Linked DNA regions of Macaca mulatta. The protein of the gene in region 2 interacts with the protein of the main gene of each other region in a pairwise test. Links are inferred from orthologs where the notes say so. Each region holds a gene or a part of one and is shown on either strand. Other genes may lie near its edges.

Region 1 (5,093 bases), on a different chromosome or scaffold from region 2:
AAAGTAGCTGGACATGGTGGTGGGCACCTGTAATCTCAGCTACTCCTGAGGCTGAGGTAGGAGAATCTCTTGAACCTGGGAGGCAGAGGCTGCAGTGAGCGGAGACCGTGCCACTGCACTCCAGCCTGGGCAACACAGCAAGAGTGCATCTCAAAAAAAAAAAAAAAAAAGCAGCCTAACTACTCAAGTGGCTGAGACCAGAGGACTGCCTGTGCCCAAGAGTTCAAGGCTGCAGTAATCTATAATCATGCCACAGTACTTCAACCTGGGTGACAGAGCAAGACCCTATCTCAATAACAAAATATAAAAATAAAAGTTTTTTTTTTTATTTAAAAAAAGCCTAAGTAGCTGGAGCTCAAAAACTAAATTTTAGGCAAGGTATACGCCAGAGGAAAATACAACAATTAATTCCAAAACAGCAGATAATGCAAAGCCTAGAATGTGAATTAAGCCACTTCCACATTCTACAGTCTCTTATAAAAATCTCCCAAACTCCTTCAAAGAAGTAATACACCTAGTGAGGAAGCTTTTATTGATATATACATAATTACTTGCATACATAAGAGATGGATTCAGAGGGAAAAAGGAAAGTATAGTATTTCAAATGGTCAAAAGACTTTTTTAAAAATCTTTTTCTTACTAAGGCTGGCTGATATTTAGAAAGGGTCAAGCTATTCCAAAATGGTGATGTTTGCAAAACCCTGTGAATGTAATTATTTTGTTTATTTTTTTAAAGACAGAGTCTCACTATGTTGCCTGGGCTGGTCTCCAACTCCTGGGCTCAAGCAATCCTCCCGCCTCAGCATCCCAAAGTGCTGGGATTACAGGCCTGAGCCACCCCGCCTGGTTGGTGAATGTAATTAAACCTGTCATGAAAAGTTTAAACCCGTTATAAGAAGCATGTGAAGACTCCATGTTGATACAACAATTTTCATAACCAAATACATTCAGATTAAAAACACGGCAAAACCCGCCTCTACTAAAAATTTTAAGAAAATAAGCCGGGTGTGGTGGAATGCACCTCATGGTCCTAGTTACTCGGGGGGCTGAGGTACAAGGATCACTTGTACCAGGGAGGTCAAGGCTGCAGTGAGCTGTGATTGTGCCACTGCACTCCAGCTTGGGCGACAAAGCAAGAACCTGTCTGGAGAAACCAAACCAAGCTCCCCACAACCCCCCCAAACCTCACTCACTACCACAGTATGTTTGAAAAGCTAGGGATCTGTGCCAACACCCTCAGGAAAAAGTCTTTCCCTTCCCAACAATCTACTTAATAAGCAATAATTTTTTTATATGTTAACCTGCAACACACCTGAGTTAATTTCACTAAACCACAATTAACTCTTAATTATCACGACAATAATGGAGAATAAAAGTGTCCATAATCAAATTCCAGAAATAATCCTTTAGCCCAAGAGCCTCTTCCCCAACCCCAGTTACATCAGGGCCCATGCACTCTCTCCAAAAGAATACAAAGACGTTTGGTGGCTGATGTTCCTTTTTCTAAACTTTATGTATAGCACAGCTTATGGTCCAGAGAACTCAGTCCTCAAAGAAACTGATACTATAGCTATCTAACTGGATACCACTGGTAATAAATTACCCAAAGCTAAGATTTCACGCTTTTTAAAGCCCATATTAATAATGCCTGTCTGGTCATAAGTCACACTACCAAAAGGCTTAAATAAATTAATCCACATGCATTACCGAGAAGAACAAAATGCTTACGACAATATTAAAATGAGTGTGAAAAAAATTTAATTAAAACCAAACACTAGCTATAACAAATACTAATATATTTCAGAACCATTAATGACCACCACAACTAGAGGAAGATTCATTTTGACCCCCAATTTGACCTTAACCCAAGGCTGTTTTAAATCATGCCCTTTTTATCTTCCTGCTTTGTTGTCACTGAGGGTCTCAATGTGCCAGTAATAATGCTACGACATAAAATACACTATAAAGTAGCATTTTCATGGACTTTTTCAAGACAACTTTCACTGAGTTCTCAAGTTATTTACCCAGGATTTAGCCATACAGGATACCCATAGATTTTAATAAAGTGGCATGGCTAACCATCATGGAAGCCAGGAAATCCATCAGTCAAAAAACTTAGGTGTACATGGTTTGTGAAGAGAGCTTAAGTGACATGGCAAGCAACTGGTCTAAATGTCAGTATGCTAAGAAACAGTTGTAAACCCTCCCACACCCAAACAATTTAAAAATTTACAAACATGCACATTTTAAGGCGGCTAACATTAGGTCAAAAATCAAACCAACGCTATCATCTTTGCCTAAAGGCTGTTTATAACTAAAATATTTTACAGAATGGACGTAACCAAAGGTCAAATAAAGGTAGAACTAATTTTATTATTATACTGCCATACTACAACTACTACTGATTGAATTAAAATACCTATCCTCAGCACGCCTTTACTATAAAGTAGATGTGCGTTCCCGTGTTAGAAAACTTTTAAAGTACTAATCTTACTGGGGTAAGTCAGAGTCCAACTGCATTTGTACTTTTATCCTGCATAATTTTCCTTCTACGTAAGCCAGATGGGAATTTGATTAGCCCACCCCGACAGCACACCGGCCTAACACCCCCAAGCTCTAGCAAGAAGCCACGTTTTACCCGGGAAGACCGTTTCCCCTCCCCTCCTTAATACAATGCCTGCGGCCACTGGAGTCTCCCCCAGCCGAGCTCCAGAAACTCGCGGGTTTAAATGGCCAATTTGGAACCAACCGGGGCAGCTGTCATCTGAAACTCAGGAAAGCTGAGACCAGCCAACTCCACTGAACAAGGAAGGGTGCGGAAAGATGTGGCGGGGCCCGTTGGAGGGAACGCATCAAGCTCCCTCCCCCCGCCATCAATTTGCTTTTCCGCAACCCCGGCGCCGCCATCCTGTTTCTCAATAATTAAACGGGCTGGAGAGGGAGTGAGGTGGCCAGAAGGGCAGCTTCGGGTCCGACTTCCCCGAGCCGAGCGGAGCGATCGGCGAGGCCGAGGGCTACGTCCCCGGCGCTCAGAGGACTTTTCTTCGCAGCTGGGGCGGGAAGGGGCGATCCCCGCGGCCGGCAGGGCAGCCGGAAGCGGAGCGCGGGGAATGACGTGGAAGAGGGGATGACAAAGGGGCACGGGAGCCCGGCGGGGCCCGCGGGGGTCGGGACAGGTGGCCGGGCCTGGCCGGGAACAATGGGGGGCCGAGGCTGCCCCCTGGCGCTCACCTACCTCCGGTGCCCTCCGAGTTCTCGTTGAGGCTGCCCGAGGAGTCGTGCTGGGCGCCCACACACCCGCCCATGGGGGCCCCCGGCGCCTCGTCCGCCACCTCCGGACGCTCGTCCGGGCCGCCGCCGCCGCAGCCTCCTCCGGCGCCACCGCCGAGCTCCGGACAGGCGCGCCGCTCCGCTCGCCCGCCGCGGCCCAGCCTCCGCCCCCCTCGCCGCTCCACCCACCGCCTTGGCTCGGCCCCTTCCTCCGCGCCCACTTCTACCTCAGCCCCTGGGCCGCCCGCTCGGCAGGCCTGGCCCGCGCGCCGCCCTCGCCTTCGGCTCAGCCCCGCCAGGCCAGGGCTGGCCCATCCCGGGCGGGCCGCAGCGCCCGCCTCGCCCCCTCACAGCCCCGCACACCCGCGTCCAGGCGAGCCCCGCGCCGGCGCCTCCCGTCCGCCAGGACCCATCGGCCCCCGCCCCGCGGCGCCGCCCTCCGCACCCACGGCCTGGGCTCGGCCCGGCCCGCCCGGAATCGCCGGGGAAGGGCGGGGCCCCTGGAGGCCGCGCTCTGATTGGCTGAGGGCGGGGCTGCGGGTGGAGCGGTGCGAGGGTGAGGCGGGGGAGGGGACGCAGGGGGCTCAGTGGGGGGAGGACTGGAGGCGAGGGGAGGAGGAGAGAGGGAGGACGCGAAGAAAGGAGAGAAGGGAGGGAAAGCAGGAAAAGCCGAACAAAAGTGAGAAAAGAGGAGTGGGAAGGGGCGAAATCGAGTTCCTGGCTCCTCGGCCGTCGGTTTCTTCTTGCCGGTGGAAGCGGGTAGCACGGGGGAACCGAGAAGTAGTCGTGGAAGACTCGCAGGCGGGGACGGGGCGGTTTCCCAAATAACGGGCTCGGGGGGCCGAACGTTGAGGTCCCAGCACCTTTTGAATTTATATGGCGCTCTGTGGGTTGGTACCCCGAATCTGGGCTTCCTCTTGCCTGCCCACCCGTGTCTTCCCTAAAATCATGGGACCCCATTATTAGGGGTGGAGGCGGTAGTTGTGGCAAACCGAACTGAGATTAGAGGCGAGGCGTCCTGATGGAACGCCTGGAAAGAAGAGATAAACGCTGACCTTAGTTCAGGGGGCGTGGATTTCTTTCATTTTCACGGGATTACTGATTCAAACAATACTACTTATCAAGATCCTGCCTTTGGGTATCTTAAATCGTCCTTAGGCGAAAGTGAAGTGTAAATGAGTGAAACACCCTGCTTTTTCTAATCTAGAATTTGGGACATTGACCACGCCCAGCATTCTTGGCGGTTACTTTTCCAATCTCAGCCAAACTGTTAATGGTCCCTTTAGAATTGTGCTTCGTGCTATGATGCCTTAAAATTTTTATCATCCTGCTTGGGCCTTTCGAAAGCTTATTTCTGCCTAAGAAGCTGTTTTAACTATCTGCTCCATTTTTATGTCAGACTTTCTTTTTTTAACATCCTGGGTCAGCTTTTGCTTAGCACGAAAAAAAAAATTTTAAGTTGAAATACCTAAGAAAGAGATGTTCTGCAGCTTGGGATTTGCATTTAAATATATTCTCATACACTGCTGGTGGGAGTGTAAATTGGTTCAATCTTTTTTGCAAAGCAATTTGGCAATGCAGATCAAGAGCCTTAAAAATGTTCATATCCTTTGACTCGGGATTATTCCACATCTGGGAATCTAGCTCACAGAAATAGACCAAGATATTATACAAAGATTTAGATCTCCGTATTCATTTGATAATCAGACATTAGACAAACAAAACCTACACTTAGGTTAAAACACAGAAATGTCGTGAGATGTAGAAATCTGCTACATTAAACTCATCCTGAAGAATTAGTATTGTCCTCAGTTGTGGTCCTG
Region 2 (5,325 bases):
CCCGGATCTTCCGCTTGACGGCCTGGAGCTGCTTGGCAATTTCCACCATACTGCCTAGTTGCCGATTAGGTCGGAGACTGCGGTAGCGGGATGTCTTTCGACAGACAGGACAAGGGAAGTCCCTCTCTAGGTCTTCCCACCAGCGGGTGATGCAAGCTTTGCAGAAGTTGTGCCCACACTCAATGATGACAGGTTCCTTCAGATACTCCAGGCACACAGAGCAGCTTGCCTCCACCTGTAAGTTCTCCAAAGCCGCAGCTGTAGAGGCTGCAGAGGCCCCAGCCTCTAACAGACTTGTCTCTGCCATAATTTAACTTGGGAGTGGGGAAGAGGACAGAAAAAATAAAAATATTAATTGGAGGTGTTTTTTTTTTTTTTTTTTTTTTTTGCATCCCTGGCCCAACATTTATCCCTGTTAAGTCCTAACTCCAGATTTGCCCAATCTTGTTATTCTCCATCTTCTCTTTCAATCAATTCAATCTCTTTGTTTCTCCATTTCCAAAACTTGTGACTCCCAGCCATTAACCTTTTTTTCTTGTTAGTAAACTGACACACAACCCCCAATTTATCTATCTTGTCTCTTACCTCTGCTTTCTCTTGTTAGAAAGAGCAGCTTCCTTCAACTCTAGCTCAGCATACTTCTCCTGATCCAGGTTCATTCCACTTGTATCTTAGAACCAATAGTTCCAGACCACTGTATCCTCGTTTGACATACGTTTCTAATAGATAAGAAAGGAATCTGAGAAGTAAAAAATGTCATAAAAATATTAACATTTCTTAAATTAAGCATATTTTAAAGTTTAATGTTATAAGGGCTTTATGATGAATCCACTGGAGTCTAAGCTTGATTCTCTGACACTGTTCTCTCATTCTTCTAAACCACAGTATCCAATCTTTTGGCTTCCCTGGGCCCATTGGAAAAAAAAGTATCTTGGGCCAGACATAAAATACATTGACACTAATGACAGCTGATAAGCTAAAAAAAAAAGAAGTCCATGCATAACTTTTGTTCTATCAGCCACCACAAAAGGTCCATGCATAATTTTTGTTTTATCAGCCACCACAGATAAGTAAAAAGAGTCCTCCCATTCAAAAGGTTAGATACCAGTGTTCTAAAGGCTAACAAATGGAATGAATGAAGCAAAGGCAACCTTCTCTTTCCAGGAAAATCTGAAATTATTCTTCCTTTTATCCATCAGACTAGCCTAAAGGAAGTCTGCTCTCTTCTTGGAATAACATATTTCATGCAACATTCCATTTCTATTGTGTTCATTTGGACACTCAGAACTGCTGAAAACTGATAAATTATGGCAACTATATTAAATAGTACATTACTGAGCTCAGGCCAACAACTTCTTGTAAAGAAACAAGTCTATTTATAGTGACTGGAATCCTTCAATATAACTATTGATAACTAACATCCTGGGCATACTGTGTCTCCAACTAACAGGTTCTGGAGTGGTTGGGAATTAAGAGACAGAAAAGAGGCAATGAGATCTCCCTCAAGTGCAGCCTCAGAAGAATTGGAAATGCATAAGAGAGATTTATAAAACACAACGCTGGTCCCCCACTCCATCTTAAAACGTCGATACTTTTAGCCATGGGTAAGTTGATGTATCTATCCCCATAACCCTTTCTCCTCCTGACCCCCATCCTTCTCTAGGGACCTACTGGAAGGAAGGAAATTTGGTAAATCTATGTGCTGAGAGATAAGTGGCCATGTAATGAGGTAGGTTAACAACAATTGTTCCTGTATATATTGTTGGCACACACAAATGTGTTTGGAGTAGGAGCTGATAACTTCTTTGGACTTGAATTTTTTCTGTCAGCAATAGGAGAGAAGTTCAATCAGATGATTTCTCTCTACCTGTGGAAATCCAACTTTGACTTGTGGTGACCCTACCCCTTCCTCAGTCTTTTACAAATTAGGTGGCCTCCTCACCTGAGATGAGTAGAACTGTATGCACAGTAAGGCACCAGGACAGATCTAGACTGGCAAAGAAGTGGTGAAAGAAATGGGGAAAGGGTTCGGGAAGAATGGAGAGGACTCTAAACTACAGTCATAGTGAGACCTTGAGTGCCTCTGGGTTAGTCCTTCGTCTCCCTCTACTCCTTGTGTCTCAGCTGAAGGGCAAACTTCAGGGACGATCTCATTTTGTTTAAACCACTGTTCAGGGTCCCACCTTGCGACCCTGTCCTGAGAGGTTGTCCACAACTCTGTCCCACCCCCGTCTCCATTTTCTTCCGCCAGATCTGGGGCAGGGGGATTGGAGAGGGGAAAGAGGAAACGTCGTTGCTGGCAGGGTAGGGAGGGATGCGTGTCCAGGTGAGGAAGAGGTGTGACGTGAAGGTGGGATGCCCGCCGCTATGACGCAGCCGAGACCCGCGGTGACTGCGTCAGAGTTTCACCCGGGGAGGTGAGCAGCAGCGGGACGGGGGAACGGCGGGGTAGCCAAGCAACGCCGGACGCGCTGACGTCGCCGGGGCGGCAAAACGTCCGCCCGGGCCCGAGGCGGGCGGAGGCAGCTGTGGTTACGTGCGGGGGGCCGGTGACGCAGTCGCGGGGCGCTGGGACGCGACTTGCGGAGCCGGCCGGCGGGGGCAGGCCCCAGACTCGGGCGCGGCGGCGGGACAGCACCTACCTTCCCGGCTTCGGGTCCGGGAGTGCGGGGCGCGGAGCCGCCGGAGCGCTGCCTCCCTCCTTCCTCCTCCCCTCGCCCCCGCCCCGCGGCGCGACACACAATACTCGCCGGAAGCGGAAGCCGCGCCGAGGCTCGTGTCAGTGGAAGCTGGGGTGTCGGCAGGCAGCAGCGGCCGGGTCTAGCGGTGGCTGCGGAAGGAGGAGGTGGAGGAGGGCTGGCGATGAGAACCAGCAGGAGGAATCAAGGACAAGAAGGGACCCAGAGGGGCAGGTGGCTGAGATGCTGGCGTCCAGGTGACCCGAGGAATCCTCTGGAGATAGAGGCCCGCGCATGCGCGTGCTCGAGCGCTGAAGCCCATGGCCCGCAGGGCGCTGGACGGGCGCCCCGGCCGGCGAGGCTGTCCCGTCCAGGCTCCAGGCCCCGGCTCTGGCCAGGCGCCGCCGCTCCCCAGTGCAGCTGAAAGTCGACGAAGAGGGCGGGGCGAGGGCGGCTTGTGGACTTCCACACTTTTCCTCTCTTCGGGCCAGTCCGGGGAGAGGGTGGCTAGCTGTGGCGGCGGCCAATTACGTGGCGGACCTGCGGGGCTCAGCTGGCACGTCACTTCCGACTGGTGGAGTTTTAGCCTTTTAACATTCAAGGATTAGGTAAGTTCTCCCCCGGGTAGACTTCAAATACTCTTTGTCCTGCCCCTGCTTGGCGAAGTTTACCGAAATTATCTACCTACCCCGCTGGAGTGGGAGCCGGGAGAGAGCTGGAACCGCGACTCTGCTGCTCACCTTTGTGTCCTTAGCTCCTTCGCATGGGGTCCGACCGCAACACGTGCGCTGGATAAACGCTGGTTAACTGGGTGAGAGCCCAGGCCTGTTCTTTCTTCTGGGGCTGTGACTTGAGTTTCTCCGCAGGAGCAGATAGTGTTTGTGTAGGGACTGCGGACTTTTACATTACAGCCTCCCTGCTTTGCTCGCTTGCTGCTGGAAGCTTAGCAGGTCCTGTGATTTTGGAGGAAGTGGGTGAGGTGATGAGGCCAGGAAGAGTATGCTGGGAGAGGTGTCAGGGGCCCGGGAAGCGGTGATGGGGCTGGGGAGGGGTTAGTAGTGGGTAGAGGTGTGAAGAGGCTGAGGAGGAGGGGTTAGTGCTAGGAGGGGTGTGACACGGCTGGTAGAAAAGATAGCTTGCTCCGCCTCCCCGCCCCCAGCACTAGTCCTGGAGAACATTGATTGAAAGAGATGAGCAAATTTTGATGTACTCTCCTTGGTGAGAAAGTGCCCTAATTTCCGGTGTAAGTTGTGCTGCTGTTTACAAACACCCTGCATTATTTAACCTCTCATCTTGGGAGCCAGAAACTATTTACTTGTAGAAAATATCCAGTATCTAAGGTATAAAGATTTGGGATCACACATGCTAATTACAGTTGTCTACCTTTATTATTCCTTTTTTTGTGCCAACAATTGAAGAGGATTAAATTTGAGAAAATTACATTTGATACCTTTTTTTCACATTGCTATGTAGCCATTAGGGATTTTAGCAGCAGCAGTTGTTCTAATTCACAAGATGCCTCACTTGTAAGGGTAGTTTGAAAGCCACTAACTGGGCGGTGAGCCTCCTTAGCCTTGGCTTCGGAGGGAGAGTGAGATTTGGTTTTGATTTGTTAATTTGTGGCGCATAAGATGTTGATAACCCTCCTTTCTGGCGTTCGGTTTGTAAATAACCAGGAGGATTGTGATTAGACTAAGGAAATTAACAAGAGGAGGTCCAATTCTAAGGATTATGAAGAATGAGCTTTCCTAGAGACTGATATTAAGGGGATTTTACGGGCCGGGCGCGGTGGCTCAAGCCTGTAATCCCAGCACTTTGGGAGGCCGAGACGGGCGGATCACGAGGTCAGGAGATCGAGACCATCCTGGCTAACACAGTGAAACCCCGTCTCTACTAAAAAATACAAAAAAACTAGCCGGGCGAGGTGGCGGGCGCCTGTAGTCCCAGCTACTCGGGAGGCTGAGGCAGGAGAATGGCGTAAACCCGGAAGGCGGAGCTTGCAGTGAGCTGAGATCCGGCCACTGCACTCCAGCCTGGGCGACAGAGCGAGACTCCGTCTCCAAAAAAAAAAAAAAAACGGGGATTTTACGCTGAATATGGAAGGAAAAAATGGAGACTGCCTAGGTAAAACTATAAAATTATGAAGCGCAAATAGTATGACATATAACAGGGCTTGGCAAATCTTTGCTGTAGAGCCAGAGAGGACATCTTTTTGGCTTTGTGGTCCATACTGAACTTTCTTCTTGGAGTATGAAAACATCATTAGACAATACTAAATGAAGGCTGGGCGCGGTGGCTCACGCCTGTAATCCTAGCACTTTGGGAGGCCGAGGCGGGTGGATCACCTGAGGTCAGGAGTTTGAGACCAGCCTGGCCAACATAGCGAAACGCTGTCTCTACTAAAAATACAAAAATTATCCGGGCGTGTGGCGCGCACCTGTAATCCCAGCTGCTTGGGAGGCTGAGGCGTGAGAATCGCTTGAACGCAGGAGTCAGAGGTTGCAGTGAGCCGAGATCTTGCCACCGCCCTCCAGCCTTGGCAACAGCCATACTCTGTCTCCAAAAACAAAAGCCAAATGAGCATGGCTGTGTTCCAATAAAACTTTATTATGGATGCTAAAATTTGAATTTAATAACGTTTTCAAAT
Region 3 (5,147 bases), on a different chromosome or scaffold from region 2:
GTGGCACTGGGGGAGTTTTAGGCATTAGTCTTATAACATAAAACTATGTCCTTGTCAAAGGAAAAGCCACAGATGTTACAGGAATGCCAGGTGCACTGTGGAGTTAAGAAGGATTCCTCGCCTTGTACCAAATTTGTCATCTACAGAGTTCCCCTCGGCTTTGGACTTTATGAATAAAGCTATTCATAGTAGGACACACAGAACTAAAGCAATGATAAACTAGCAGGTAAAAAAAAATGCAGATATATGAAAAATGCAGATGGTAGGATAAAGTTGAGTTAGCTTTCTAAAATCAACAAATACTGAGTGCTACCTCTGTACAACTCATTGTGTTAAGTGCTGAATGTGTGTGCGTGAGGCTATATGAGTGAGACATATACACAAGGATAAGACAGAACCCAGGTCTTCGAGGCTTGCAATGTAGTTGCTGATAAAAGACTGTAAACATCAAAGACACAACTAATAATACGGAGTACATAATTGTTAAGTAAGTGGCATAGATAATGTGTCTGCAGGAGTTCTCAGAAGGAGCAATCACTTCCACCGGGTGTGTGTGGTGGGGTGCGGAGGGAGGGGGAAATGGCAGACTTGTCAGGCAAGGTGCTTCAAACAAGACACGGCACTTGAAGTGAACCCAAGGGATGAAACACTCTCAATAAGAAGGAAATGGCACGAGCAAACACTGGTGGTCTTAATGTCAGAGAAGGGAAAGAAATTAGGACTTAAAAGGAACGGCCTTGACAGTTAAAGTACTTGTAGGAGTGGGAAAGTGCAGAAAGGTGTTTGTTGTTGTTGTTGTTGTTTTGGGTTTTTTTGAGATGGAGTCTCGCTCTGTCACCCAGGCTGGAGTGCAGTGGCGCAATCTGGGCTCACTACAACCTCTGCCTTCCAGTTCAAGCAATTCTCCCTGCCTCAGCCTCCTGAGCAGCTGGGATTACCGGCGCCTGCCACCACGCCTGGCTAATTTTTATATTTTTAGTAGAGACAGGGTTTTGCCATGTTGGCCAGGCTGGTCTCCAACTCCTGACCTCAGGTGATCTGCCTGCCTTGGCCTCCCAAAGTGCTGGATTACAGGTGTGAGCCACCATGCCTGGCCAAGTACAGAAATATTTTGAACACAGAACTATAAAATCTGGAAGAAGTTATTTTAGCAAATGTCTTCTGAGGGGACAACTCTGTGTAGGACTGGATAATGACTGAAGATGAAGTTGCCTTTGGGGGGTACCTCACTTCAGCCTGAGACAAGGGTTGACTTGAGGTGAGAAGGGTATGAAGTGGGGTGGCAAGGGACAGGTTCGCAAGACCTGCGGAAGGAAGAGCCAGCAGACCCCAGGGACTGGCTGGCTTCGAGGCAGGTGACAAGGAAGCAGAGAAAGTCATGAGAGAGAGAGCTCTTCACAGCCTAAAGTTAGGCAGCTGGAAGAACATGAGTAAAGAAGGAAAGCTGCTGGACAGGGAACAATACAGAGCCTGATTTTGGAAGTGTCAAATCTGGGAATATCTATATCGCAGTGTCCAGTGGCCATCTAGAGATGGGGTTCTGGGGTTCAAGAGAGAAGAGCTGAAGATTAAGCATAGGGGTCTTCCCAATGGACAAAGAGTTGTGAGACTAAACAAGATTTCTCTGGGAGGGAGTGTAATGAGAGAAAAAACAGAATGTCAAACTGAAGCACCAGTGCGCCCCCCACCTAGAAGGTGATGGTGGAAAGGGGTGTTTAGAATGGAAAACCAAGACAGTCTGATGCCAAGAAAGGAAGGGGGAGAATGTCTCATGGGAGAGAGTTGTCAACAGCAAAAAATGCTGCTAAATCAATTATGGGGACTGAACACATATTTGTTGAACAAATGAATGAATGAAAGCAAGCCAGTCCTTGGTTTTGAGTCATCTCTCCTCAGTCAGAAGAATGGGCAGAGTTACCTTCAGACAAAAGAATTTCAATAAGTTTTACTCCATCCTTCCCATAAAAACACATTTCTTCCTCCACAAGTCATCCTGTCCACCACGCAGACATCCTTCCCTGCTTCCCCTGGTTCCCTCATCTTCCTTCCCAGTTTCCGCAACCCAAGCAACACACCTTCGGTGTCAAGGGAGACAGGAAACTCCAACTAGAGTTTCCACTTCATTAACAACTCTGCCTGTGGCTCCTCTTACATAAGGGGATATGTGGCAATGGGGTGGGAGAGGAGGCTGAGTTCTAGCCCCAGCTGTGCTCCTAACTAGCTGTGTGACTTTGGACAAGGTGCTCAACCTCTTGGGATCTGGGCTTTGACATGGAGAGGAGGACAAAGATCCATCTGGAATCCAGATAAGTTTTGAAGGTCCCTTTGAGCTCTCAAGTCTACGATTTTATTCCCAGCAGGTCCTTGCAACACCCTCAAAGAAGGAAGTGAGTGTAAGACCCAGAAAAATGACCTACAGACCTCTTTCCGGGGCGAAATGCCAGGGCAGGCGGGGTGTACCATGAAAGTGAGAAAGCGTTGTCCCGGCCTCGAGAATCACCAGCGAGCGATCTCACTCCCACAGCTAGGAAGGATCCCAACAATTCCGAGGGTGAATCTCACCCCGCACCCCATCTTTTATAGACTCCCAGACGACCGAGAGGCTCTAAAAACCCCTGCGGGAAAAATAAAGATTTCTTTCCCAGAGTCCTGCGCTGCTTTGCAAGTCGGATTCCGGCAGACACGATCTGCAGCCCGATAATGACACAGTCTTTGGAAGGAGCGACTGTTCTCGCCCCGCTCGCTCCAAGTTCTGGGGACGCCTGGCTGCCCGCGCCGTGCCCCGACGGGCCGGTGTCCGACCCCGGCCGGAGCTGCCAGGCCAGCGGCGCCCTCGCCCCGGGCCCTCCCCCCAATCCGTCGGCCCCGCTGCGGTCTGCAAACATTTCCTGCCCCCACCCCCACCAGGAGCTTCCCAGTTGGAGAGAGTTGGTCGCGCAGCCGGCTCAGTGCTCGCAGTTGCCCCAACTCAGCTCGCCCGGCGCTGGGGAGCGGCCCCGTCTGGTTGCGGAGCAGGCTATCGGGGAAACCCAAGCGCCAGCACCAGTGGGGAGTCTATCGGTAAGCCTAGAGCTCGGGCGAGGAGGGGGACAACTGGCGGGGTGCCCGAGGCCCTGCTCCCTTCCCCGTCGTTACCTGCTCGCTTGCGGGGGTGTCCCGGGGCTGCCGGCCTCTCCCGCCGCTGTCTCCCCACGCAGTTGCCCATGCTGGCTCCTCAGCCAGTCCCCATGCACCGGAGGCGGCGAGGTGGTCGGCTGCTCCGCGCTCCTGCCCCGGACGGCGGCGTCCCGGGTCAACGGCTCCGGCCGCCCGGCATCTGGCGCTCCCCGATCTCCCCCCGGGGGCGCGCTCAGCCCCGGCGCTGGCTCCGCCAAAACTTTGCGGGCCAGGGGAGAGAGGGAGGTGGCAGACTCCCTAGCACAGTCCCAGGTGGCCGGGCCAGGGGGGCCCGCGACGGTGCCCGGCCGGAGACCAGCTCCGCTGGAGGGGCGGAGAGAGGGGGCGGGCACCGCCGCAGCTACTCCCGGTCGCTCGGGGCTCCAGGCAGGGGCCGGCCCCCTGGAGCCTGTCACTCACCTGCCTAACCCCGCCCCAGGCCGGCCCCGCTCCCCACCGCCGGCTCGCGGTGCCCGCGCCGCCGCCACCACCCGCCCCAGGTGCGCATGTGACCGACAGCACCGCCCCCTCGGGCTGGGCCTGATTTTCTCATTGGCTTCCCCCGTGGTGCGTACCGCCCCTCTCCCCACCCAGCCAGGTGCCCGCCCCGCCGCCCGTCTCCCGGGGAGCCGGGCCGGGAATTATTCGCCCTCAATGGCCTCCGGCTGCGTGCCCAGCAGCCGCCTTCCCTCTCGGTGCCGCCGCCCCATTCCAGGCCCCGCCCCTCCCTGGAACTGCCTGGCTAGAAGCCGGTAGGCACGTGACCCGGTGCGCCCCGCCCCCTTGGCCTTCTCCCCGCGATTGCCTCGGGAGGCGCATGCGCGGAGAGGCCCGTCTCTTGCCACCGCCCATATCCCCTCCCACGGTCTCTTGTTCGCGTCATGGCCGCCGCCGCGGCTCTGGAGGCGGCGGCGCCTACGGGCGCCCTATGGGGCCTCGTGCACGACTTCGTCATGGGTCAACAAGAGGGCCCCGCTGACCAGGTGGCTGCAGGTACGGCAGACGGCGCCGCGCGCCTTCCGCATGGGGGCCAACAGGAGGGAGCGGCCTCGGTACAGGCGCCGGGCGGGAAAGGAGGAGCGGGTGACTTTGAGAGATTGGTCTCAAGGCTGGTTAGTGAGCACCGCGAGCTTCAGAGCCGTAACAAGTTGGAGAGTTGCCTGTGTCTTCCTTAAAACCATTTACACTTTTCATCTCCCTATAGCCAATTATAGGGAATTATTACATTTTACAGATGAGGAAACTGAGGCTCAGCGAGGGCAAGAGGACTTGCGCAGGGCTGCAGACAAGGCAGGAGGGGGAGCTGGGACTCGGACCCAGGCGTTCACGTCCGAACCGGGTGCTCAAGCCACGAAGCCACGCTGTTTGTGGGAGGTTGACGTGTGGAGGTGCATCCTCGCAGCGTCCGCTCCCGTCGCGTGGCATCCTGGGAGTGGCGGATGGCCCCGCGCTCTGACTGGCTGGAATTAAGAGGAGGCGAGGAGTCGGGCCAGGAGGAGCTGGAGATGTTCTGGGTGTCCTCCTTAAGACTTTCTCTCCGTTTCTTGCCAAAGTTCTTGATTAGTTTGCTCCATGACGTTTTATGTGGCGTTTGTTTTTATCTTCTTCCCAGACCCCCACTTGCCTGCTTTTGACAAGTTCAGAGATCTCTTAGTTCAGACAGCTTATCTAAAATTAGAATAAAACAATTTCCAGGCTTCCGTGGAGTTCTGAGACTTTGCTCTTCTAGGAAAAAAAAGTCTACTAAAAAGTTATTGAATGTTAGGAAGGCTTCAGATCTTGGGTTTAAGTAACAATATAAAATTGTCTAATGGGTAGTTTAAAAAATTTTGGAAATTTCGCATGCTTGGAGAGAAGTAAGGACACATTTCTCTTGCAAACTGAGCGTATTAACCTTTAGAATGTGTAAGAAAAGAATAGTGAATCTGCTGGAAATAAAATACTTTGTTCGTTAGCAGTATTCCACTTTGATTCAGTCATGCCACTATTGT
Region 4 (4,559 bases), on a different chromosome or scaffold from region 2:
GCTACGCAGCAACTCGGAATCATGGCCATTACGTATTGTCTCCACATCAGAGATTGAGACTGCCAGAGAAGAAGCAGGTGAAGGCATTGAGGAAGGGAGTCCAACAAATAGCAGGGGCTAAGAGTGAAGGACCAGCACCCCCTTCTCCATGACACCATAGAAAAGAACCCCAGCCTCTGCAGACTGAATCCCAAAAAGCATTAGTACAGAGAGATGCAGACCCCAGGGATTCAGGAGTCCATATGAATCACTGATGTTTTCAAAGGCAGCATGGCAAAGGGCCTGTGCTGGGAGTGGCAAGACATGGCTTCCAGCCACAAGCTGGCAGTATGACACAAACCAAAATGACTTAACTCCTCAGTGTCCTCATCTGATATAATGGATAGTCCCCTTCCATAGGCAGCCCCAATGGTGATCACAGGAGGACTGGTGGGGATGACAAATGGAAATACATTTGAAAGGCAGAAGCAGTTATACTAAAGCATTATATCCCTAAGTCCAGTTCTCCCATTCCAGGTTTGAGGGCTTCCTCTTTCCAGATGTCTACGAGGGAATCAGAGAAATTCTTTCACCCTCTTACCTCAGCTGGGGGTGGTACGGATTGTGAGCAATTTGTCTCTAAAACAGACTCTCTTAGATGTGTCCTGTGATCAAATTATTTCCTGTTATTATAAAGAGTTCGGCCAATAAGTGCACACTACTTTGTTTTGTTTTTTGTTTTATTTTGTTTTTTGAGACCAAGTTTTGCTCTTGTCACCCAGGCTGGAGTGCAATGGCACAATCTAGGCTCACTGTAACCTCTGCCTCCTGGGTTCAAGCGATTCTCTGGCCTCAGCCTTCCGAGTAGCTGGGACTACAGGTGCCTGCCACCAAGCCCGGCTAATTTTTGTATTTTTAGTAGAGATGGGTTTTCACCATGTTGGCCAGGCTGGTCTCAAACTCCTGACCTCAAGTGACCTGCCTGCCTCGGCCTCCCAAAGTGCTGGGATTACAGGCATGATCCACCACACCTGGCTGCAATTTTGTATTTAAAAATATTTATCATGATGGCTAACATTTATTAAATGCATTCTGGTTTTACATCGCATGCTAAGTGTTTTACATGTTAACTAATTGAGTCCTTGTAACCTACTGTTTAATCCCCATTTTACAGATGAGGAAACTGAAGCTTGATGTATGTATGTATGTATGTATGTATACATGTATTTTTTTAGAGACAGGGTCTCACTCACCCAGGTGGAGTGCAGTGGTGTGATCACAGCTCACTGCAGTCTCAACCTCCTGGGCTCAAGTGATCCTGCCATCTTAGCCTCCCAAATAGCTGAGACCACAGGCGTACAGCACCACACCTGGCTAATTTTTTATTTTTATTTTTTATAGAGACAGGCTCTCCCTATGTTATCCAGGCTGGTCTTGAACTTCTGGTCTCAAGCAGTCCCCCTGCCTCGACCTCCCAAATTGCTGGGATTACAGGCATTGAGCCACCAGGCCCAGCCATAGCTTAACTACTTGATTTTCCACAGCTACTCAGAAAGTGGCAGAGCTAGGGCTTTAATTCAGGCAGGCTGATGCCCAAGATGATGGTCTTATAATAATAATAACAAGATGTAACCAATGATTTATTATGTTTTACTATGTTCCAGTACTCTCCTGAGCCTTTTAGATAGAATAACTAATTTAATCCTCATTACAGCCTTATGAGGCAAGTAGTGTTATGATCTCTTTTTACAGGCTCAGATATAGCCACAATTAGGACAGCACAAACGCACACCATCATAGGACTTTGGTCCCTCCCCTGCCAGGCTCCTCAGGACTCTATCCACCCATATATCCACCCCCCACTATCCAGGTCACTCACAGCTGGGCTTGGCACTGCCCCTGGCCTGCCGTGCATGCCAGACTGTCATGCCGTCATTCTGAAGTCTGAAGTATCTTAGCTTCTTCCAGCTTTTGGACCTCACCTTGCGCATCGGCATGCCTTCCTGCATCAGCAGCAAGTCCTGATCAGTGGTCAGCCCTAGGTCAGGAAAAGCAGGGGTTAGGTAGCCAGCAGAGAGGGTAGCAGGCCCAGGGAAAGCTCTCAAACAGGGGTCCAGCCTCCTTCCCTTCCCTGAGCTATATGCTAAGCCCTTTTCCCCTGCAGGGACACTCACGGTCTTGCAGCAGGGATGCCATCACCCACTGTTCCACCGGCTGGCACCAGATCACCTAAAGGAGAAAGGAAGAGCAAAGGACTCTGGGTGAATCTTAAAGATAGTCTGTAGCTGATTTTTGCTTCTGATTTTGAGTTTAGTGACTCTGAGACTTTAGATAGGTCTAGAAACCTGCCTCAAATCACATAAGGATCAGAATTTAAATCAAGATATGTCTGATCCCAGAGCCTCCGCTATTTCTCATGGCTATCTTCAGAGAAGGCTAAACCAAAGAGTCCACCAAGCACCCCCTTCCTACCCAATAACCCACAGTCTACTAGTGCCACATTTTGCTCACTCCCCACCCTCTCATTATTAGGAACTAACATCTTGTTGGATGTCCCTTTCAGAAACTAGAATCTCTTCACATCCTAGCCTTCTTATTTCCAGGTAGAATCCTTCCAGCTTCCCTATTCTGGGAGCCCTCTCTATGCTCCCACGTAGACTGTCCAGCTCCTGAGGCGACTAGCGCAGACTTTTTTTTTTTTTTTTTTTGAGATGGAGTGTCGCTCTGTTGCCCAGGCTGGAGTGCAGTGGTGCGATCTCAGCTCACTGCAACTCCCGGGTTCAAGTGATTCTCCTGCCTCGGTCTCCCAATTAGCTAGGACTACAGGCATGTGCCGCCACGCCTGGCTAATTTTTTGTACTTTTAGTAGAGATGGGGTTTCACCACGTTAGCCAGGATGGTCTCAATCTCCTGACCTCGTGATCCACCCACCTTGGCCTCCCAAAGTGCTGGGATTACAGGTGTGAGCTACTACACCTGGCCAGACTTTCTTTTTTCTCTTTGACAATATTTAGTTGTCTTCTTCTACCTTCACATGGTAAAGCATATTTTATACTTTTTCTTTACAGTTATTCTCACAGTTTTTTTTGTTTTTGTTTTTGTTTTTTTTGAGATGGAGTCTCACTCTGTCGCCCAGGTTGGAGTGCAGTGGCCGGATCTCAGCTCACTGCAAGCTCCGCCTCCCGGGTTCACGCCATTCTCCTGCCTCAGCCTCCCGAGTAGCTGGGACTACAGGCACCCGCCACCTCGCCCGGCTAGTTTTTTTGTATTTTTTTAGTAGAGACGGGGTTTCACTGGGTTAGCCAGGATGGTCTCAATCTCCTGACCTCGTGATCCACCCGTCTCGGCCTCCCAAAGTGCTGGGATTACAGGCTTGAGCCACCGCGCCCGGCCCCTATTCTCACAGTTTTAATGGACCAAATAAGTTATACAAGTCTCAGAAACACATTTTCAAATTTTCTCTACCTACCAAAAAAGGGTACCTCTTATAAGATATATGCTGTCAGCCAGGTGCGGTGGCTCATGCCTGTAATCCCAGCAATTTGGGAGGCCGAGGCTAGCGGATCACCAGAGGTCAGGAGTTTGAGACCAGCCTGGCCAACATGGCAAAACCCCATCTCTACTAGAAATACAAAAAACTTAGCCAGGCGTGGTGGCAGGCACCTTTAATCCCAGCTACTTGGGAGGCTGAGGCAGGAGAATTGCTTGAACCAGGTGGCAGAGGTTGGCAGTGAGCCAAGATCGTGCCATGCACTCCAGCCTGGGCGACACAGTGAGACTCCGTCTCAATAAAAAGAAGAAAAAAACCAGTTAGGGCCGGGCGCGGTGGCTCACGCCTGTAATCTCAGCACTTTGGGAGGCCGAGGCGGGTGGATCACAAGGTCAGGAGATCGAGACCATCCTGGCTAACACGGTGAAACCCCGTCTCCACTAAAAATACAAAAAATTAGGCAGGCGTGGTGGCGGGCGCCTGTAGTCCCAGGTACTCGGGAGGCTGAGGCAGGAGAATTGCTTGAACCTGGGAGGTGGAGGTTGCAGTGAGCTGAGATCATGCCACTGCACTCCAGCCTGGGTGACAGAGCAAGACTCTGTCTCAAAAAAAAGAAAAAAAAAAAAAGAAAAAGAAAAAAAAGATATATGCTGTGAAATATAGGACCTGGTTAAGTTGTCCTAGTAGCTGACAACAAACTTCCCTTGAAAAGGACTAGAAAATTTGATTGTGGCCACGCTGATTCTAGTTATGCCCCTATAGAAATATTCAATTCTTGGTTGGGCACAGTGGCTCAGACTGTAATCCCAGCACTTTGAGAGGTTGAAGAGGGAGGATTGCTTGGGCCCAGAAGTTCAAGACCAGCATGGACAACATAGTGAGACCTCCATCTCTACAAAGAATTTTTAAAAATTAGCCAAGTGTGGTGGTATACACCTGTGGTCCCAGCTACTTGGGAGGCTGAGGTGGGAGGCTCGCTTGAGTCCAGGAGGTTGAGGCTGCAGTGAGCTGAGATTACACCACGGAGCTCCAGCCTGGGCGACAGAGCAAGACTGTCTCAAAAAAAACAAAAACCAAAAACCAAAATTCA
Region 5 (5,256 bases), on a different chromosome or scaffold from region 2:
CCTTGATCATTATCTTCAGGAGTGACCTTCCTGCCAGACCCCTTCCCCTATTCTCTATGCTTAGGATGTTCTTCCGATCTGCATGTCTACTCTATCACTTTTATCAGGTCTGCTCAAGTGACTTTATCATCAGGGCCTTTTCTGATCACCCTAATAAAATAGTATGTGTCCTACCAATCTCTAGCCACTTTCCTGCTTTATTTTTATGGCATAGATTTGTTGTTGTTGTTGTTGTTGTTTAGATAGGGTCTCACTCTGTCTCCAGGCTATAGAGCAGTGGCGAGATTATAACTCTTTGCAGCCCCCATCTTGGGGGTTCAAGTGATCCTCCCACCTCAGCCTCCCAAGTAGTTCGGACTACAGGTACATACCACCATGCCCAGCTAAGTTTTCTTTATTTTTAGTAGAGGTGAGTTCTTGCTATGTTGTCCAGACTGATCCTGAATTCCTGAACTCAAGCAATACTGCAGCCTTAGCCTCCCAAACGACTGGAATTACAGTCATAAGCCTGTAATAGCTGGCTTGACATACATTATTTTTTAGTCATCTTTCTCCCTCCATGGCTATGGCTCAAATGTTTGGAACATATTCAGATACTTGTTGACAAAATCTGGCCTGGCGCAGTGGCTCACGCCTGTAATCCCAGCACTTTGGGAGACCAAGGCAGGTGGATCACCTGAGGTCAGGAGTTCAAGACCAGCCTGGCCAACGTGGAGAAACCCCGTCTCTACTAAAAATACAAACATTAGCTAGCCATGGTGGTTCACGCCTGTAACCCCGCTACTTAGGAGGCTGAGGCAGGAGAATTGCTTGAACCTGGGAGGTGGAGGCTGCAGTAAGCTGAGATTGCACCACTGTGCTCCATCCTGGGCAACAGAGTGAGAATCCATCTTAAAAAAAAAAAAAATCAGAGAAACAGGACCTAGAAAGATAGCTGCTGAGGGTTTGGCATAGAGGGGAGTGGGAATTAGTGTTTAAGGGGTAAAGAGTTGCAGTTTTATAGGATGATAAACAAGCATTTTAGGCTGGGCGTGGCGGCTCATCCCTGTAATCCTAGCACTTTGGGAGGCCAAGGCAAGTGTATCACTTGAAGGCAAGAGTTCAAGATCAGTTTGGCCAACATAATGAAACTGCAACTCTCTACTAAAAATACAAAAACTAGCCGGGCATGGTGATGCACGCCTGCAATCCCAGCTATTCGGGGGGCTGAAATACAAGAATCCACTGAACCGGGAAGTGGAGGTTGCATGAGCTGTTATCATGCCACTGCATTGCAGCCTGGGTGACCGATCGAGACTCTGTCTCAAAGAAAAAAACAGTTGTACTAAGTATTTTTTCAAGCTACTCACAATAAACCAAAGTTCTAAAGATCTGTTGTTCAGCAATGTTAATATACTTAACAATACTGAACAGTACACTTAAATATGTTAAGGTTTTTTTTTTTTTTGAGACAGAGTCTCGTTCTGTCGCCCAGGCTGGAGTGCAGTGTCGCGATCTCGGCTCACTGCAATCTCCGCCTCCCAGGCTTGCACCATTGTCCTGCCTCAGCCTCCCAAGTAGCTGGGACTACAGGCACCCGCCACCACGCCGGACTAATTTCTTTCTGTATTTTTAGTAGAGACGGGGTTTCACCGTGTTAGCCAGGATGGTCTCAATCTCCTGACCTCGTGATCCACCCGCCTCGGCTTCCCAAAGTGCTCGGATTACACGCGTGAGTCACTGCACCCAGCCAAGATGGCAGATTTAATATGTTTAGTGCATGTAAAACTGTAATTTAAAGTAACAGTTAAAAACATAGTTGGGTGCCAGAAACTGTGCAGGCTGCTTTTGTGTTGTCTCTCATCTTAAGGGAAGCTGAACAGAGAAGAGGAAAACAGGTAATCCAAGTTCCCTGGTTCACTTACCCTGCAATAGGTACTCCATCATGTTAATGGTGCCCCCAGTGACAGGCATCATGGTGACTGGAGGTGCCTCCATGGTGTCTAAGTTGAAGACAACACAACTGGACTCAGAGCCCCCAGTCAGGTAAGGCACGGGATATACCTGGAAAAGAGTTCACTTGTTTATACATCAGAGTAGTCGAGAGAGACCAAATCTGTTGTGGCACTGGCCTTCAAATCAAAAGATTCATTCATTTAAAAACATTTCAGTGTCTTACATGGCCAGTTCCAGGAACTGATGATACAGAAATATAAAAAGGAGATCTGGTCATGGAGTTACAGCATTGCCTTCTAGTCTCAAGTTCTGAAACCTCCAAGTTACCTGTGCAATCTTGAGAAAGTCCTGTCTATAACCCCTCACCCTGGGACTCAGTATCTTCCTCATAAAATGAGACCAGCAATTTTTTTTTTTTTTTTTTGAGACAGAGTTTCACTCTTGTCGCTCAGGCTGGAGTGCAATGGTGCAATCTCTGTTCACTGCAGCCTCCGCCTCCCAGGTTCAAGCGATTCTCCTGCCTCAGCTTCCCGAGTAGCTGGGATTACAGGCACCCACAACCATACCCGGCTAATTTTTTTTTACATTTTTAGTAGAGACAGAGTTTTGTCATGTTGGCCAGGTTGGCCTTGAACTCCTGGCCTCAGATGATCCTCAGGTGAGTCGGCCTCCCAAAGTGCTGGCATTATAGGCGTGAGCCACCACGCCCGGCCAAAGGCCAATGATTTTTAACTCCCAAGGTTATGTGGCTCAAACGAGATAATAAAGAGGCAACAAAATTCAGAAGAACTGAAAAGTGTCTTAAGGGACCTTCATTTTTATAGATGAGGACATTGAGACTCAGAGAGGGACAGGATACACACAGCAACTTGGTAGCAGAGTTGGGACCAAACTAGAATCTAGGCATTCCATCGCTCTGAAAATGCCTTTCCCCCATACCCTTTTCTTTTTTGGTGACAGGATCTCGCTCTGTAGCCCAGGATGGAGTGCAGTGGGGGAGTTCCTAGTTCACTATAACCTCGAACTCCTGGGCTCAAGCGATCCTCCCACCTCAGCCTCCCGAGTAGCTGGGACTACAGGAGGGAGAGTCACTGCGGCTAGCCTAAAAATGCCTTTTAAAGAGAGCCAAGGCCAGGCGCGGTTTCTCACACCTGTAATCCCAGCACTTTGGGAGGCCGAGGCCGGCGGATCAACCGGAGGTTGGGAGTTCGAGACCAGCCTGACCAACATTAAGAAACTCCGTCTCTACTAAAAATACAAAAAATTAGCTAGGCCTGGTGGCGAGCGCCTGCAATCCCAGCTACTCGGGAGGCTGACGCAGCAGAATCGCTTGAACCCGGAAGGCGAGGTTGTGGTGAGCTCAGATCGCGCCGTTGCACTCCAGCCTGTGCAACAAGAGCGAAACTCCGTCTCAAAAAAAAAGAGAGAGCCAAGAGGAAGTTATTTTAAAATGATGGTATATAGGTCCTTCTAAGCCAGCATCCACAACACGTGTCCACTTAAACACTAGAAGCACACCTCCTTGAGGCTCTAGTGTCTTCTCGAGAAGTCGGGAATTATATGCACCCGCGCACCTAGGAGCCTTTGAGCGACGATTAGATCCCAGTCCTCCGGTTACCGGAGCCCGGGAAGCCCCCAGACCGGTGGAACCAGCCAACTTCCTGCTCTTCTCACTTCCGGTCGGAAGCCGAAGTCTCACAAACCTCGAAACTGCCGTTCCCAAACGTATGGGTGCCGAGAAGGCCGAAGAGCGTCATTGCGGACAGACAATCAGAAGCGCATGCGCAAAATGCCGGGCTGCTGTAAGAAAGATGGCGGCCTCCTTTGGAGCTTTCCTCCGGGGTCTACCTGGCGCCTTGACGTCACAGGCCATCCTCTAGGAAAATATTTTTAGGTTTGACAACCTGGAGATGTATTTGTGCAGAAAGTCTCTTGGAACTGATAGGACTTACAGAGACTATAATGGGCTTAAAAAGAAAAATGAACTGAGGGCGCGGTGGCTCACGCCTGTAACCCCAGCACTTTGGGAGGCCGAGGCAGGTGGATCACTTGAGATCACGAGTTTGAGACCAGCCTGGCCAAGATGGTAAAACCCCGTCTCTATTAAAAATACAAAAATTAGCCGGACATGGTGGCACGCGCCTGTAATCGCAGTTACTAGGGAAGCTGAGGTGGGCGAATCGCTTGAACGTGGGAGGCAGAAGTTGCAGCGAACCGAGATCGCCCACTGCACTGTAGCCTGGGATACAGAGAGAGGCTCTGTCTCAAATAAATAAATAAATAAATAATAAATAAAAATTTAAAAGTCCGGAAAAGGAGTAGGTCCAGATCCAGGAGTACTCTGCAGTGCCAGACTAAAAGAACACGTGTGAGCTTTAAAAGAACCCTGGTTGCAACATGGAGAAAAGTTTGGGAAAGGAGAGAGCCTAGAGAAAAATGACCAGGCGGGACATGGTGGCTCAGGCCTGTAATCCCAGCACTTTGGGAGGCCAAGGCGGGCAGATAGCTTGAGCTCAGGAATTAAGACCAGCCTGAACAACATGGTGAAACCCTGTCTCTACAAAAAATACAAAAATTAACTGAACGTAGTGGCTTGTACCTGCAGTCCCAGCTACTTGGGAGGCTGAGGTGGGAGGATTGCTTGAGCCCAGGAGGCAGAGGTTGTGGTGAGCTGAGGTAGTGCCACTGCACTCCAGCCTGTGCAACAGAGGGAGATCCTGTCTGGAAAAAAATTAAAGAAAAAAGACCAGTTAGGCGCTTTAGTACAACTCCGGCTGAGAAACAACTGTCAGAAAAAGATTTTAAAAATGTAAAAGAGGAAATTAGCCGGGCATGGTGGAACACGCCTGTAGTCCCAGCTACTCAGGTGGCTGAGGCACCAAAATCGCTTGAACCCAGGAGGCGGAGGTTGCAGTGAGCCAACATCGTGCCACTGCACTCCAGCCTGGGCAACAGAGCAAGACTCTGTCCTAAAAAAAAAAATATATATATATATATATATATATATATATATATATATATATATATGTAAAAGAATTCTTTAATGACTAACCAGAGGTAGAGGCAGAGAGATGAAGGAGTCACAAATGCCCAGATTTCTACCTTGGGTGGCTATTGCAGCACTTTTTTTCTCTAAGCTAGAAAACACAGAGCAGTGTGGGTGAGACAGGAAAGATGAGTTCATATGTAGACACATTGAGCATCAGGTGTCTATGGGACACCCAAATGGCAAAGTTCAGGGGAAAGAAATGGGCTACAGATAGAGATTTCAAAACCATAGCCTCATAGATGGTAGCTAAAAGCCATGACATTGAATGAGAT
Region 6 (5,245 bases), on a different chromosome or scaffold from region 2:
GTCATGACAGCGTGGTACAATATGAACACAAGCTGACCTAGATCCAAATCCCAGGCTCTGTGTTTGCAAACAAATAATTTAACTTCTCTAAATCTCTATTTTTCTCATCTAGGAAATAGAAAATCTAAAGAACTATTCTTAAGAATTAGCAATAACGTATAAACAAACAACACTAAGAACAACTAGCCATTCTACAAATGACAACTAGTTATTAACAGCAGCAATAACTAATAGTAAATAATACAACCTATGAATAAAACATTGATTATGGGTTTATATCCTCACAATAAACAATTTACTAATGTAATCCTACTCATAAATTATAAAATGTAATCCTACTCATAAATTATAAAACGTACTTTACATCAATATTCCATGCCTAACAACTTTGGAATATTATTTAAAACTGCTTAAAATTCACACTCGTATTTAAAAACAAACATCTAAAACAAAGAAAATAAATATTAATAAATAAAAAGAAACATCTGACAAATTTCCAAACACTGTCTGAAGGGAAAGAGGCCAACTGGTGCCTTTGAGTAAATCACATTCGTATGACACAAAATTAAAAAAATATCTATACCCCATGCCCCAGAGACCCAATTTTTCTACACAGAAAGCAATCAATTTTACCAATTTCTTGTGAAACCTTTTGCCTATAAAGACAAATACACATATTCCCCTCTTTTTAACACAAATGGTGGCTTCTTCCACACTATTCTGCATCTTGCTTTTCACATTTATCTTGTTGGCTGTATTTTAATTAACACACTCTAAGAATGGTCACTTATAATCTCTCATAACCAGAATCCAGTAAGCGTCAGCTATCTTTACAAAGGCACTTACAAGGCCACCCCAAAAAGTCCTTAAATCAACCAGTGTTCTTAGTAAACGCAAGCATACAAGCACATGAAATAAATTTTGGTAAAGTGCAGATTTACCAAAAAAGTGACATGATGAAATATTTATTTGATCAGCCATTCAAAAGACTGGATTTACACCCTTAAAAAGGAAACACACGGACTATACTACAAGTCTTCAATGAGTTGAAAATAATCCACTTATAGAACTGGGGCTACTAAAATATCAAAAAATACTGGCGAAAATAAGCTATTTATTGGTTATATTTATTGCAAGATTAAATGATGTGACTCTTTCCTAAATGTTCTTTGCAACTGATTTTCCCAAAAGAAGTTTCCTTCCATATTTATACAGGTACTGTTCTAAACAACACAAAACAAACAAAAAACCTGTCTGCATTTCCTGTTTTCTTCTTCTGAAACACTTTTGATGCTTATCTGAAGTAAGGCTTCCTCATCCCTTATGTATAAAGAGCAGTGTTTTTTTGTTTGTTTGTTTGTTTGTTTTAACAATATGCATTACTAGAGAGCAATACAAGTATTTCTGGTAATCTTCAACTTAAGTACTACGAATCTCACAGTGAAAAGTGAGCTCATAAAAAGCAAAGAGACCATATTAATTACCAAAGCAGTAACTTACCACTTGTAACAGAAAATAAAGCACTAAAAGTCTATTAAGTTTCAGGCTTGTACAACCTTATTAAACAAGAAATGTTTTAGGTTGTTGGCAACAATATTAGCTGCTATCTTTCATTAGGAGTATGTATGTCAGCTAACCTGGAATACATTTTCATATTAAATAAGTTAAAATTGCTGTTTCACTGTATCAGTACAGACACTTATTGACTCTATTTCTGCGCTGTACCACAAAATACAAAGTCATCCTTCCATTCAGAGTTTTGGCATATGAACACAGAGGTCAGAGTTCATACACATGCTCTGTAAAACCGATCATGACTTACATACTACTACTTTCAATAAGTCTGTTGTCATTTTTGAATTTTAAATAATTTTTCTCCATGTATACTCATCACATATTTAGAATGCTGAATTTCACAAATCATTATTGACACTATCAAAGTACTAACCGTAAAAGAAAAACAAAAATAGCAATGATATATTCAATAATGGTATGTGAATCTTGAAAATAATCATTTTCTGTATTACTTTTTGTTTAATTCATGTGGGGAAGACAATCTGGCATTCTTGTTCATCTTGGTACGACACACTGTACTAATACTTGCATAATTTTGAGTCAAATTACTAGAGCATTGTGAATATCTTACATAAACGTAGTACTAATGTATATAAATTCTGCAGAACTTAAGAGCAATGGCAGGCAATTTTTTTGAAAATCTGTTAAGTCGTGATAAATCTACTCAATAAGGAGATGAAATAATGTATTAATCTGGTGAAATCTCACATTTTTAATAGGTCTACTTTTCAAAAGTAAGAATCAAGTTACCTATGAGGGACATCATAATGAAGTTTCGTGGCACAACACGAGTCACAGAGGCACTGTCTTAGGACAGTCTGATCGGTAACTTGTAAACAATATTTTGAAATAAACTACTCATACAACCCATTATTTTTTTCCTAACTAAAAATATTTACATGTCTTTAATACACCAAACACCTCGCCTTTGCCCACTCAAAAAAGATTGTGATGTCAATAAAAATGAGGCCTACGAATTTGGGGGTTAAGTGGAAGACATAATTATCTCGTTTGGAATAACTTGCTAACTCAGGTGAAAATTCCCTTACCCCCGCCACCAAATAAGACAGTATTCTATTATGTCTCCCTTTGACTCCTAACACCCAACTAAGAAGGACTAACTCTGAATGTCCTTCCTTTCTAATCAATACCTTTGGACTCACCGCTCCTCCCCTACGAAAAGAACAGTGAAGGCCTGACAAGCAATAACCCCAAATACCCTCAAAAGTGTGGGCCTTTGAGCAGCACTGCTCTTCGTATCCAGTTACCACCTTTCCCCTTCCCCCAACCCACTTCCCGGGTTTTCTCAGGCTCGGCCTGCTCCCTCCCCACCCCACAGCCACATTTCCAGCTGTGGCCACCGCCTCGGGTTCTCTCGTGAGCTTCCATCCCTCCGAGGAGCTCCCCCCTGTCCATCAGCTCCCCAAACCGTGTTCCACCCCAGACCACCCGCCCGCGAGACCGTTCATCCTAGCGCTCTGGGAGGGGAGGGGAAGGCGGCGGAAGGAGGAGGGGAACACTGCTGCTTCCTCACAGGCAGAAGGGCGGCCGCAAGGAGGGCCACCCAGGGACTACCGAGGATATCGGGGTCGCAGCTGGGAGGACCCTCCCGCTCCAGGCAGAGATGGGGGATATCCGGGAGTTCATTTCTGACCTCCTCGCTCTTCAGCACCTCCTTGAACTCCCGCTTGATTCGCTGCACCGCGATGTTGGCCATGTCTCCGCCCGCAGCTGATTCGTACCCGCCTCCTCCGCCACCGCTACGACCACCGCCACCGCCGCCACCTCTTCCTCCACCGCCTCCTCCCCCGGCGATTCAGACCCGAGCACACGAACACTGCCACTACCACCCCGGCCGCCGCGCTCGCCTCAGTGTGGAATCACCTCCGCGCCCGGCCACCAAAATGGCGCCGGGTCGGCGCATGCGCACGACGCTGACCCGGCCGGGCGGCGCAGCCGCTCCCGTTGTAGCCCCCATACGCCCGAGCCACGAGCTCGCGTCTCGGCTGGGGCTGCGGCCGCGTGGCTCCGCCCTGCCGGCGTCTGGGGCCGCTAGGGCGCGGCTTCCAAGGTGGCCGGCCGTAGCCTGCCCGCCCGGTCCTACCCGGCGCCTCCGCTCCTGTTTAAACCCAGGTGCTGTGGTCGGGGCTTCCAGCGCTGGCCTCTGACCGAAGGTTCGCGCGCAGCCGAACGGGTTCCCGAAGCCGCACTCGGCTGGAACGCCGCCCTGACTCAGCTAGACCCGGAACCCGGAGGCTGAACGCCGTGTCTAGCGCAGGAAAACGCTCTCGCGGATCTCGGTCCGGCCCATTTTCAGTTGGTGTAGCCCCAGAAAATCCACTGCAGTCGTTTTTGTTCTGCAACATTTATAGTACCACGATTATTCCCATCATCTCAGGTAGCACAGATTATCGAATTAAGGCTGGTTATTGTTGGATCAGATTGGGTTTGAGACAGGTACTCGGTGGAGAGGCCTGAGGGTGGGTTTACAAGTCAGATGTTGATCTTTGACCTATTTAATACCGAGCTTGACACACACACACTCTCTGTCACACACACACACCACACACACACACACTCCTGTGCCCATCCCTAGAGTGTGGAGCGGGCCTAAGACTGCGTTTCTAACAAGTCTCCCAGTTGCTGCTGCTGTTGGTGCTGGTTCGGGGACCACACTATGAGAACCACTGAACTGAAGCGTGTGAAAATTCATATATATTAAATTGAAAACTGGAGAAATAGAAATTATAGTGCCCTTCAGGGGACTGGGATGGGGGAGGGGGAGCCTTATTTCTGTAAACCTAGGCCTACAAAGGTGCTTGGTGATAGTAGGCACTCTATAAATATTGAATGTGTAAATGAGTACAGATAAGAGTAAAACGCTTTTGCTGGCGCGGCGGATCACTTGCAGTCAGGAGTCCGAGACCAGCCTGGCCAACATAGTGAAACCCCGTCTCTACTAAAAATACAAAAATCAGACAGGTGTGGTGGCAGGCGCCTGTAATCCCGGCTATTCTGGAGGCTGAGGCAGGAAAATCGCTTGAACCTGGGGGGCGCAGGTTGCAGTGAGCGAGATCGCGCTACTGCACTACATACAGCCTGGGCCACAGAGCAAGTTTATGTCTCAAACAATACAAAACAAAAAGTATAAAATATTTTAAGTAGAAAGTAAGTTTGAAAGTGGTTTCTGGTCGGGCGCGGTGGCTTATGCCTGTAATCCCAGCACTTTGGGAGACCTAGTCGGGGCAGATCACTTGAGCCCAGGAGTTGGAGACCAGCCTGAGCCCCATGGTGAAATCCTATCTCTAAAGATAATAATTTTTAGAAAAGGAAGTGGTTTCTAAGGTGCATAGTAATAATGGTTTGGTACTGAGAAACATTTTGAATAGAACATTTTGGAACAAGTAATAAGGGTGTCATTTTAGAAGTTTATACTTCATGCACTTCCTTCACCTAGCCAATCAGTAAAATATCTATTATAAAAATATCACAAAGGCCGGGCGCGGTGGCTCAAGCCTGTAATCCCAGCACTTTGGGAGGCCGAGACGGGCGGATCACGAGGTCAGGAGCTCGAGACCATCCTGGCTAACACGGTGAAACCCCGTCTCCACTAAAAAATCCAAAAAACTAGCCGGGCGAGGTGGCGGGTGCCTGTAGTCCCAGCTACTTG

What was found.
Region 1: the proteins of TRIM39 (region 2) and UBTD2 interact in a two-hybrid assay, tested with the Homo sapiens proteins (2 studies listed by BioGRID and IntAct). The link is inferred for Macaca mulatta from reciprocal best matches to the Homo sapiens genes TRIM39 and UBTD2.
Region 3: the proteins of TRIM39 (region 2) and UBTD1 interact in binary tests that used the Homo sapiens proteins (3 or more experiments, as listed by UniProt). The two-hybrid records come from large-scale screens. The link is inferred for Macaca mulatta from reciprocal best matches to the Homo sapiens genes TRIM39 and UBTD1.
Region 4: the proteins of TRIM39 (region 2) and PLCD4 interact in a two-hybrid assay, tested with the Homo sapiens proteins (2 studies listed by BioGRID and IntAct). The two-hybrid records come from large-scale screens. The link is inferred for Macaca mulatta from reciprocal best matches to the Homo sapiens genes TRIM39 and PLCD4.
Region 5: the proteins of TRIM39 (region 2) and MED18 interact in binary tests that used the Homo sapiens proteins (3 or more experiments, as listed by UniProt). The two-hybrid records come from large-scale screens. The link is inferred for Macaca mulatta from reciprocal best matches to the Homo sapiens genes TRIM39 and MED18.
Region 6: the proteins of TRIM39 (region 2) and UBE2K interact in binary tests that used the Homo sapiens proteins (3 or more experiments, as listed by UniProt). The link is inferred for Macaca mulatta from reciprocal best matches to the Homo sapiens genes TRIM39 and UBE2K.

The regions. Positions count from the first base shown.
Region 1 is NC_133411.1:181,147,526-181,152,618, forward strand, and holds the start of UBTD2 (ubiquitin domain-containing protein 2), read right to left. Parts: upstream 3,419-5,093; 5' UTR 3,306-3,418; coding exon 3,236-3,305; intron 1-3,235.
Region 2 is NC_133409.1:152,701,177-152,706,501, forward strand, and holds the start of TRIM39 (E3 ubiquitin-protein ligase TRIM39), read right to left. Parts: upstream 3,226-5,325; 5' UTR 2,643-3,225; exon of another isoform or gene 2,073-2,642; intron 1,988-2,072; exon of another isoform or gene 1,943-1,987; intron 740-1,942; exon of another isoform or gene 720-739; 5' UTR 586-719; intron 315-585; 5' UTR 308-314; coding exon 1-307.
Region 3 is NC_133414.1:109,547,939-109,553,085, reverse strand, and holds the start of UBTD1 (ubiquitin domain-containing protein 1), read right to left. Parts: upstream 3,525-5,147; 5' UTR 3,206-3,524; coding exon 3,136-3,205; intron 1-3,135. Other genes in the region: MMS19 nucleotide excision repair protein homolog, read left to right, coding at 4,038-4,149. UniProt on the Homo sapiens protein: May be involved in the regulation of cellular senescence through a positive feedback loop with TP53. Is a TP53 downstream target gene that increases the stability of TP53 protein by promoting the ubiquitination and degradation of MDM2.
Region 4 is NC_133417.1:123,854,008-123,858,566, reverse strand, and holds part of PLCD4 (1-phosphatidylinositol 4,5-bisphosphate phosphodiesterase delta-4), read right to left. Parts: intron 2,209-4,559; 5' UTR 2,176-2,208; coding exon 2,154-2,175; intron 2,018-2,153; coding exon 1,859-2,017; intron 427-1,858; exon of another isoform or gene 88-426; coding exon of another isoform or gene 60-87; coding exon 1-59. UniProt on the Homo sapiens protein: Hydrolyzes the phosphatidylinositol 4,5-bisphosphate (PIP2) to generate 2 second messenger molecules diacylglycerol (DAG) and inositol 1,4,5-trisphosphate (IP3).
Region 5 is NC_133406.1:212,601,212-212,606,467, forward strand, and holds the start of MED18 (mediator of RNA polymerase II transcription subunit 18), read right to left. Parts: upstream 3,264-5,256; 5' UTR 2,326-3,263; coding exon 2,263-2,325; intron 2,044-2,262; coding exon 1,905-2,043; intron 1-1,904. UniProt on the Homo sapiens protein: Component of the Mediator complex, a coactivator involved in the regulated transcription of nearly all RNA polymerase II-dependent genes.
Region 6 is NC_133410.1:38,909,431-38,914,675, reverse strand, and holds the start of UBE2K (ubiquitin-conjugating enzyme E2 K), read right to left. Parts: upstream 3,342-5,245; 5' UTR 3,293-3,341; coding exon 3,230-3,292; intron 1-3,229. UniProt on the Homo sapiens protein: Accepts ubiquitin from the E1 complex and catalyzes its covalent attachment to other proteins. In vitro, in the presence or in the absence of BRCA1-BARD1 E3 ubiquitin-protein ligase complex, catalyzes the synthesis of 'Lys-48'-linked polyubiquitin chains.